2 linked regions of the Caenorhabditis elegans genome follow. The protein of the gene in region 1 interacts with the protein of each later gene in a pairwise test. Each region holds a gene or a part of one and is shown on either strand. Other genes may lie near its edges. The genes, in order: ksr-2 and mek-2.

Region 1 (5,017 bases):
GACGATAGATCAAAATCGGATTTCGGATTTGTGTGTGTGTCTCGGAATTTATTCAGGCCTAATTTTATGAGAAAAAATAAAGCGGGGCGCTTAAAAGTGCAGATTTGTCAAATTTTCGAGGAATTGAGCTCAAGTGGACAATTTGCCGAAATTAGGCAAATCGGCAAACCGGCAAGTTGCCGTAATTGAGAATTTCCGGCAAATCGAAAAACCGGCAAATTGCCGGAGTTGACAATTTCCGGCTAATTGGCAAACCGACGAACTGCCGTAACTGCAAATTTCCGGCAAATCGGCAATTCGCCGTAACTGAAAATTTCGGGCAAATCGGCAAACCGGAAAATTGCAGTAACTGAAAATTTCCGGCAAATCGGCAAATTGCCGTAATTGAAAATTTCCGGCAAACCGGCAAGATGCCGTAATTGAGAAATTCCGGCAAATCGGCAAACTGGAAAACTGCCGTAATTGTAAATTTCCGGCAAATCGGCAATTTGCCGTAATTAAAAATTTCCGGCAAATCGGCAATTTGCTTTCAGAAACCACCACAAAATCTTTACTGAAACTCATCCAATTGTCCCCATAATGCTAAATATGTACGTGCCCCCTGCTGTGAAATCTACCAGATTCGGAATACTAATGACGCTATTTTTGTGTGTTCCTCCCCAGCGGGACATCTATGACTGAAAATAATCGAAAAACTTCAAGTACTACAACACTTGATTCCCGGCGGTTTTCCGTATCCAAGAGCAACAAAACTGAGCTCCGAGAGGGTGAGCAGAGCAGGTGAAGAAGCCGAGCACAAATATTTATAAGAGAAACAAAATAAAAAATTCGACGAGTTGGTGGTGCCAGAGTGTCTCATTTCGGCTTGATCTACGTTGATCTACAAAAAATGCGGGAATTTAGAAGCAGACTTCTCAACTAATTTAGCATGGTTAAGAACGTGCTGACGTCACACTTTTTTGGGCAAAAAATTCCCGCATTTGTAGATCAAACCGTAATGGGACAACCTGGCACTTTCACACTGTGAAACCTCTGCCACGGCCATGTGTCGATTCACGCAGTTCTCTCGTGTACTCCTCGAGAAGTACACGAGCTGCGTAAATCGACATTGAAAGATTTCGGTGAGAAATCTGTTGGATTTTATTCATTTTCCATACAGTTTTATGCGAATTCCACAAATTTTTGGAAAGCTACTGTAGTTTTGGAATTAATGAAAAAAATCTCCAGCAAATCCATTTTCGCGTTGAAAATTGTCTATTTCAAACGAGATGCCGAAGATTCATGTCCCGTAAGGATTACGGTAGGTTTGCCAAAATCCGTACATGGTGTCAGGCTATCCCAATACAGCTTGATCTACAAAAATGCGGGAATTTTTTCGCAGAACAAATGTGACGTCAGCACACTCTTAACCATGCAAAAACAGTTGAGAGGTCTGCGTCTCACCTCCCGCATTTTTCGAAGATCAAAGCGAAATCGGGTGAATCCGTCAAACGGAGCGGCTCTGGACCGTCTCAATTTGCTGAGTGTGGCCGAATTTTCTCTTCGTCACGGCCACCAGAGGACTTTCAGGACAACTTCTAAGAGCTCTAAGCCAAGTTAAAACCTACTTTTCATATCTTCCCCGCCTTCGATTCACAATCGCGTACCACAATCGTCTCCAAAGGGTACTAATGAGCAAATAGCATGAGCAGCACATTTAAGCACATGCAATTTGATGTTCTTGAATGAAGCGAACCTATGCTTGTTGTGCTGTGTAGCTGACTGAGCCTTAGAGCACAAAAATGTGTGCGTGTGTCTGCTGCTCTCGTCGTTTTCAGCAAAAAAGGCGTGCTCAGCTAGCTAGGCTCAAAATGGGTGGGCTCCGGGAGCCTTCAACCATTTGATGAAATGAGCGAGGAAAAATTGAGACCCCGAGTGTAGATGTGAACGGCGAAGGAGGCAAAATTTAATCGAACACTCTATTTTTTCCTTTTTCTTTTTCGTCTTCCAAGGCGAACGGAGCCATTGAATATTCCAAAATGGCTCTAGGAGCTCATGTGAGCCAGCACAAAGTCGTAAATTAACCTCGAGAAGCTTGAAAATGGACATTTTCCAGAAAACTAGCGGGAAAGCAGAACTGTGATTGCATTTTCCAGAAAAGACAAATCTCGTGAGATTCTTTATTCTTGAAAATTAGAAAATTAAACCGATCTCACAGATTTCTATGCTTCCCTCATAAATTGAAATGGAAGAGTTTTGGCCGAACTAGGCCATGTTGGCTCGGTAGATTTACGGCGCGTTGCGGCTCGATTCTAGTTGTAAAACTAAATGTATTTGTCAGTGAGGAGTACACGACACTTTCCCACGCGTTGTCCGGCAGACAGGATTGTCAATGGAGCGCGAAAAATTCAATGAGGAAGGCCAGAACCCCGGCTGGCTGAAAACTACGGAACAACGAAATTCTCCAAAATATGAGAAAAAGCCAACTCGACGGCCGGAAAACCTCTGTGTAGATTTACGCAGCTTTTGTGTACTCCTCGAGGAAAACTCGCTCGAAAATCCATAAATCTTTTTGCCTGTTGTGCATATTATTTTCACGACTGAAAATCGTAATAAATTAAAATTAAATCGGCCGCTGAGCAGCAGTAAAAAACGTAAAACTCGTTGGGAAAAAAATGCGGAAAAGCCGGGGAAAAATTGGAGAGAAGAACTGATGAAGTGGAACGACGACAGCTATACGAGGAAAAGGCGATAATTGCTTTTTTTGGGGGGTTTTTCGGATGAAATTTGCGATTTTTAGAGCAAAAACCAAGTTTTGCAAGCTTTTCAGGTTAAAAATTGAGTTTTCTTCATTTTCGCAATTGTTTTATTCAAAAATCGCGGAATTTTCGAATTTTTTTTCGCGAAAAAAGCACATTTTCCACGGGAAATGTGCCAAAAAACGCGGCGAAAACGCGAAAATTGACAATTTTTTTGGGGAAAAGGCCATTTTCACATCGAAAACTCTCGAATTTTCAGCCAAAAAAAAAACTCTGCCTAACCTTCCACTCGTTGAAGATCTCCGCCACGATGAGAACGATGACGTCGTCAGCACGCTGTATCTGAAAAATCCGCTGAAAATCGGTGTTAAATTGCCTGAAAATGTGTGCCTGCTCGGCCTACCGCTTTTTCTTCTTTTCATCGCTCATCTGACGAAGGTTCTCCCTGCAAAAAAAGATATATTTAAAAATTAAATTTGAAAATCGTGAAATTTAGGTGTTGCGGGGGCGTGGCGACGTTTGCAAACTTGCGGCGCGGTTTTTTTTTGATTTTTCAGCGATTATTTTAGAAAAAATTCACTTTTTTCTGCATTTTTTTGTAAAAAAATTGAAGATTTTGAGTGAAAAAGGCATTTATTTTTTGGTTGAGGCTCGAAAATTTTACATTAATTTTTTTTTTCTGACAAAAACTGGATAAAAGTATTAATTTTTTGTAAAAATCCAAAAATATTTTATATTTTCCAAATCCTGAAAATCCCAAAAAAAACCACGCCGCAGGCTTGCAAACGACGCTCCGCCCTTTTTTCCCTGCCGCATTGCAAAATTCTCCGAGCTTTTTGTAGAAAACTGCGAAAAAAAAGATCTGAAACAGAGAAATCAAATTTGGGCAAACTTCCGAAAGAAAGAGTAAAAATTTTGAACGAAATTTTTTTTTATTTTATTTTAAAATTGTGTGTGCGTCCAATTTTCACAGCAAAAGGTGAAAATTTCGAGACACAGAAAAAAAAAACGGAATAAAACGGTTTCAAATGGAGAGAGAGGGAGAGGGTGAAGGGAATAGAGAAACAGAGAGAGAGAGAGATACGTTAAAAACCATTTTTTGCAAAGCTCAATATCAAAATCTCTATTACAATTAATGAGAAAATACAACTTTTCAGAATGGTTTTTGTCACTTTTTGAGGTCGTGAGAGATTAACGGGTTGGGTTGAGGAGAGAGAGGGAGTGGAAAAATTTTTTAAAAAATTCGAAAAAGAAATGAGGGTAATATGTATATAAATTATAGAATTTCGATTTTTCGCACCACTTTCTAAAGTCGAACGATTTTTGAGATCAAAACCATTCGAAAAACGAAACAAAAAAATTTAGAAAAATAATGCAAAATGCAAAATTTTTGGTTGAAAAAGTTTAAAATTTTTTAAAAAATGGGGGGAGTGAAAAATAATTTAAAAAACAAAGAAAAAGTGAGTTTCTGCCGGGGGTGCAATTTAGAAAGTGCTCATGTTGACGTCAGCCGAGAAATCAGGCTTTCCGTTGTCTCGTTTCGATGCTGGTCCCCCTCGTCCGTCTCCCGGGCGCTTTCCTCGACCGCGTCTGTTTGCCCTGTAACCTCAGACATTTATTAGGATTATTCTTGCACAATTTTATAAAGATATATGGAGAATTCTGCGCCAGTGGGGGGGGGGGGGGGGGGGGGGGAAATTGATTTGAAAAACACAAAAAATTAATTTTGAACTACCCTTGTTCAATAGAGCGCGCTTGTATTTTTTATTTATTTTAATGCATTTTTAGTTTATTTTTCTCATTTTCTACTGATTTTTTATATTTTCAGTGTATTTTTATTGGAAATTTGAAGAAACGTTTGCAAGATTAATGCAAATTTTTCACAATAAGGCAACTTTATGGTTACGTACCCATACAGATGCTCTCTAGTGAAAAATTTGCATTTTTCTTGAAATTTTCTTCAAATTTCCAGTGAAAATTTACAGAAAAATCATTGGAAAATGTGAGAAACGAATTTTTTAAAAATTACAAAAAATGCAAGCGCGCTCTATCGAACAAGGGCAGTTCAAAATTAATTTTTTTGTAATTTTTTAGACAAATTCCGTCCACTGGCGCAGCAGCACTCCACCACACTTCAAAACTTACATTCCACCGCGTCCAGGTGGTCCACCACGGAATCCTCCTCCACCGCCCATTCCTCCTCTCGGCGATCCACGCATTCCTCCTCTAAATCCACCGCCTCCGTAGGCTCCAAAATCTCCATAGGCTCCCGGGCCACC
Region 2 (5,288 bases), 9.0 Mb from region 1:
ACTCCGGAATGACGGAGGCGCGTGTTGTTTAGCGCGTCCCGTTTTTGCGCTTTTTCTCTCGTTTTCATCGAATTTGCAATGATTTTTTCAGTTTTTGGCCTTTTTTCGTGTTTTTTTCGGTGTTTTTCGTGAAATGCACGTCTTAAAACGTCTAATAAGCTTATATTTCCAAGAAATATCGATTTAAATCGGAAAAAAGACTACTGATGCGTCTTGGAATTGTTTGCTCTTTATCTCTTCTCATCTCTGTTTTTTCGACAAAAAAGCTGAAATAAATCGAATAAATCAGGCAGTATTGTTCTGAAATGAAAAATTTGCAGAAAAATGGTATTTTTCCATTTTTTTCATCAAAAGAAGCACCAATCGTGGAGAAAGTCCCTTCTTCTACGTAGAAATCCCCGTTTTCTATATAATTCCTCTCATCGAGACTTATATTATCCGATTAGCAGGTCAAAAATCCCCGTTTTTGGCACGGATCCACTGAAATCTCAATAAAAATCACATTTTCTCGAAGAAAAAAGCAACAAAAGAGCCGTCATCCCCCTCTCAAATTTCCTCTCCTCCTCAATTTCGATTAAATTTTTAATTATTTAGGCGCTTTTTCTGCTCTCTTTTTTCTTGCTCCAGCAGCGGCTCCCCGCATCTCTCATCGCCTTCTTCTCTTTTCTTCTCGCTTGACCGAGCTCTCGCAGTCCGGAAAAGCAGTCAATAAGCTAGAGAGCCGTGCTTTTTTTTCACCTGTTCTCAAAAATCGCCACTTCACGACAGGTTATATTCATCAATCAATTCATCACGTTTTTGCCTCGATTTCAGAGAAAACTAGTTGTTTCGGAAGAAATTAATCGCGAAATTTTTTTTATTTTCCCTTTTTTCAGACGGCTAAAATCACGTGGAAATTTATAATTGTATAGGTTTTCACTCAAATTGGCTCGAAATAGCTCGAAAAAATTCCAAAATGTGTATGGCGAATCAAAATTCGAAAAAAAAAAACCAAAATTTGCTAAAATCAGCGGCTAAAAATCCAGTTTTCATTGAATTATCTTCATTTTTTTAGAATTTTTGGCTTTTTGCCACCCAAAAATGGTCTCAAGCATTGAAAAAACACTGCGACAAGGAAAAGTTGACAAAATGTAGGATTTTAGCAATTTTTGCTTCAAAAACACGCCAAAAAACAGTTTTGGAATTTTTTAAAAATATGTAATTTTAGGTCATTCTGAGTATATTTAAGTGAAAACCCTCTTTAAAGGTGAAGTACCGAAATTCGAATCTTTGCTTTTTTAGACCCAAATTGGTCCAAAACTACCGAATTTCGTAATGAAACGTTTCGAAAATTTCTCAAAAAAAAGTTATGGCGGTTCAAAGTTCGGCAAATTAAGGCCCACAAAATTAAGGCCCAACGTCTGGAACCCAATTTTTATTTATTTATCACTTTTTAATAAATATTGCGGTCTTTTATTAGGCTTTTATTCGTTGTTTTAAGTACATTTATGGTCAGTGGGCACAAAATGTAACTTTTATTTGTGCCCCAAAGGCCAGAAATATGCTTAAAACAACGAATAAACGCCCAATCAAAGACCACAATATTTATTAAAAAGTGATGAATAAATAAAAATTAGGTTCCAGACGTTGCGACACCGAGAAGTTGGAAAAAATTTTGATTTTAGCTGAAAGTTGGCCTTATTTTGCCGAACTTTGGACCGTCATAACTTTTTTTTGAGAAATTTTCAGAATGTTTCATTACGAAATTCGGTAGTTTTGGACCAACTTGCGTCTAAAAAAACAAAGTCTCAAATTTCGGTACTCCACCTTTGATTTCTGAAAAAAAACTCTGCTTTCAGTTAAAATTACCAAAGAAACTAAATATTTTTAATATTTCCTGACTAATTTTTAGAAAATTAAATAGTTCTGAGTATTTTCTGAATTAGACTCCAAAAATCGCTAAATTTTCCCATTTTCCCCAGTTTTTCATAAGTTTTCTTGGAATTTTCCTCGTTTTTTTTCTAAAAAAAACCTCTCGATTAAAATAAAATCCAACTATTTTCCAGATAATGTCGAGCGGAAAACGGCGTAATCCGTTGGGACTCAGTCTACCACCGACAGTAAATGAACAAAGTGAAAGTGGCGAGGCGACGGCGGTAATAATTTAAAATTATTTTTAATTTTTAAATATTGAATTTAAAAAATATAAATTTCCAGGAAGAAGCCACCGCGACAGTCCCACTAGAAGAACAGCTGAAAAAGCTCGGGCTCACGGAGCCACAAACTCAACGGCTCAGCGAATTCTTGCAGGTCAAGGAGGGCATCAAGGAGTTGAGTGAGGATATGCTACAGACTGAAGGAGAACTTGGCCATGGAAATGGAGGAGTTGTTAATAAGGTTGGAATTTGCTGAAATAAGCTGGAATTTGGAAATAAAAAGTTCAATTTTTCAGTGTGTTCATCGAAAAACCGGTGTAATTATGGCTCGGAAGCTTGTACACCTCGAGATCAAGCCGTCAGTCCGACAACAGATCGTCAAAGAGCTCGCCGTACTTCACAAGTGCAATAGTCCATTCATTGTTGGATTCTACGGGGCTTTTGTGGACAATAACGATATATCAATTTGTATGGAGTATATGGATGGGCTTTCACTTGATATAGTTTTGAAAAAGGTAATAGTTTATTGGAAAATGTGCGGGTATGTTGGAAAATGATATGGTGGACAGTTCTCGCAGGATTCTCGGATTCGGCTTGTCCTTGTGATCCGCATTGTCGATCTGACCAAGCTTCTACTCGGAGTACCTGGCTCTGCCGATGGTCCGAATGATCCTTGTGATCCTGAAGCTCCGACCTTCTTCCCGGTACCTGGAATTCCGTCTTTCCAGAGGTTCCTGGCGGATCCTGTTCAGAAGATCGAACTCCGGCGTCTCAATTGCTTCCGTCTTGTCCTGGAGATCTGCTCTTTCCCGGATGTCCTGGTGGGCTTGCTGGAGCGTTTCCTTCTGGAAGAAGTTCTCCAGGCTCTCCTGTGGTCCAGAAGCTCACGGGCATTATGGCGGAATCGGGAGAGTTCAATCACGAAGCTCGTCCTGGTGATCCTGGATCACCTGATTCTCCGACTTTTCTATGGTTCCTGGCGGTCCCTGAGCTCGCTGGTGGGCAGTGCTCGCACAATCCTGGTATTCGGCTTGCCCTCCTCCTGGGAGAAGTGCTCCAGGCTCTGCCGATGGTCCGGATGATCCTTGTGATCCTGAAGCTCCGTCCTTCTTCCCAGCACCTGGAAGTCCGTCTTTCCAGAGGTTCCTGGCTGAACATATTCAGAAGATCGTCCAATAAAAAGCTCGTCATTCTGGATTTTTAAACGAAATCTTTGGCTCACCCTGCTCTCCAGCAACTCCGTACGTGGTGTCTGTCCGCTGTCCCATTACGGTTTGACCTACAAAAAATGCGGCAATTTTTTCCCCAAAAAATGTGACGTCAGCTGAAAATTCTTCGTCTCGACTCCCGCATTTTTTGTAGATCTCGGTAGATCAAACCAAAACGGGGCAGCCTGGCACCACGTGCTCCGACGTCTCAACTTCTTCCGTCTTGTCCTGGAGATCTGCCCTTTCCAGGATGCCGTGAGCCTCCTGTCCGTCTTGATGGCCTAGTTGGGTTTGCTGGAGTGTCTCCTTCTGGAAGAAGCACTCCAGGCTCTCCTGTGCTCCCCCAATACCTCCAACAGAAGCTCACGGTGCTCTCCTGGTTCTTGACCTAGTTCTCTTTCCAGAGGTTCCTGGCGATACCTGAGCTCACCGTGCTTCACAAGCCTCTTCACCCTTTTTTTTATTAAATGGACAACTACGACATATCGATTGAAAAAATAATATAGTTTATTCGAAAATGTACAGACAGACTCGCATAAGCTTCTAATATCCTGGAGCAAGACGTGCTGGTGGGCAGTGCTCGCACGATCCTGGAGATCCGGCGTCTCCTGGCGATCCTGGAGTTCCGGCTTGTCCTGGTGGTCCTGGTGGTCCGCGTTGTCCTGAAACAAATTTAACGTTTAGAAGAAGAAGAAGAAGCCTAGCTTATCATGATAATTTACCTGGCTCTCCAGCAACTCCGGCGTCTCCGTTGCTTCCGTCTTGTCCTGGAGATCCGGCCTTTCCTGGCTGTCCTGGTGCTCCTGGCCGTCCTGGTGGTCCGGATGGGCCTGGTGGAGCGTCTCCTCCTGGAAGAAGTGCTCCAGGCTCTCCTGGTGGTCCGCGTTGTCCAGGCTGTCCTGGTTGCCCAGGTGGTCCCGGTGGTCCGGATGGTCCTTGTGGTCCTGGAGCTCCATCCTCTCCGTTTCTTCCCGGGTTACCTGGAATTCCATCTTGTCCTGGTGGTCCTGGTGGTCCTCCAAGTCCTGGAGCAGCAGTGCATGGGCATTGTGGTGGAACCGGGAGAATTCGATCATGAAGCTCGGCATCAGGTCCTGGTGGTCCTGGCTCTCCTGGTCCTTGACCTGGTTCTCCGTCTTTTCCAGGAGTTCCTGGCTCTCCATCTGGTCCTGGTGGTCCCTGTTGGCATGTGCAGCATTGAGCATCAGCTTGACGTGTAGCTCTGAGCAGAACATCAAGTGGATCATCAGCACCTTCCGGTGCAACCTCGACCATCTCACGCCACATATCCCGAGATCGGGACTTGCAGTACTCAACCTCTCCTTGTACGGAAGCTTGAAGGGTCTGCACATAGTGGAATACCAATGGGAAAGCGATAAGCACAGCAGTCACTGCGACTGTGGAGAATGTGACGGCGACGAACGCCACACTTCGCAACGATCCCTTGCTCTTCTCGTCCATCTGAAATTCTATGAATTTTCTAGAATATTCGAACAAAGAATCAAAGGTGAAGAAGGGAAATGAAAAATGTCAGAAGTGTCAAAAGAATAAGAAGAAGAAGCCTACACAGTCATTTGCCGTTGCCCCCGAGTGCTTATATGCGGCCGCTGTGGTGGAACGAAACGGCAAGTCGCGCACTTCTGTGTGCGCTGCGTCTCATCGTTGCGCACGCAATTTCCGTGCGCCCCGCGCAGTGAACATCCCTTGCGTTTTTTTTTTCGATTTCCTCATCTTCTCCGCCCGTTGTTGTACATGACTGTTGATTATGATGACACATAAAGTATCAAGGTGTGGAAAAAGTAGGGGAAGGAATCGAAGAGCAGTTCGGCTGGAAGTTTTGGGACTTCGAAAAGCCAATAATCGAGTTTCGGCGCTGTAAATGAGTTTTCTACTCTTTCAGGACAGTTAAATAATGTAGTTTTTAAAAGATTCCGTATAGAAAGTC

What was found.
Region 2: the proteins of ksr-2 (region 1) and mek-2 interact in a two-hybrid assay, tested with the Caenorhabditis elegans proteins (one study listed by BioGRID).

What each region holds. Positions count from the first base shown.
Region 1 is NC_003279.8:12,056,616-12,061,632, forward strand, and holds the start of ksr-2 (Kinase suppressor of Ras B), read right to left. Parts: upstream 3,184-5,017; 5' UTR 3,168-3,183; coding exon 3,142-3,167; intron 3,093-3,141; coding exon 3,021-3,092; intron 1-3,020. Other genes in the region: hrpr-1 (RRM domain-containing protein), read right to left, coding at 4,223-4,337, 4,884-5,017. UniProt on the Caenorhabditis elegans protein: Probable inactive protein kinase which positively regulates Ras-mediated signaling probably acting at the level of let-60/ras or/and lin-45/raf. In the germline, regulates meiotic progression during oogenesis and mpk-1 (isoform b) phosphorylation.
Region 2 is NC_003279.8:3,010,206-3,015,493, reverse strand, and holds the start of mek-2 (Dual specificity mitogen-activated protein kinase kinase mek-2), read left to right. Parts: upstream 1-2,045; 5' UTR 2,046-2,048; coding exon 2,049-2,135; intron 2,136-2,196; coding exon 2,197-2,376; intron 2,377-2,431; coding exon 2,432-2,650; intron 2,651-3,828; exon of another isoform or gene 3,829-3,886; coding exon of another isoform or gene 3,887-4,005; intron 4,006-4,065; coding exon of another isoform or gene 4,066-4,804; exon of another isoform or gene 4,805-4,810; intron 4,811-4,875; exon of another isoform or gene 4,876-5,001; intron 5,002-5,288. Other genes in the region: col-48 (Nematode cuticle collagen N-terminal domain-containing protein), read right to left, coding at 3,887-4,005, 4,066-4,804. UniProt on the Caenorhabditis elegans protein: Functions in the let-60 Ras signaling pathway; acts downstream of lin-45 raf kinase, but before the sur-1/mpk-1 gene product in controlling vulval cell differentiation. Required for progression of developing oocytes through the pachytene stage.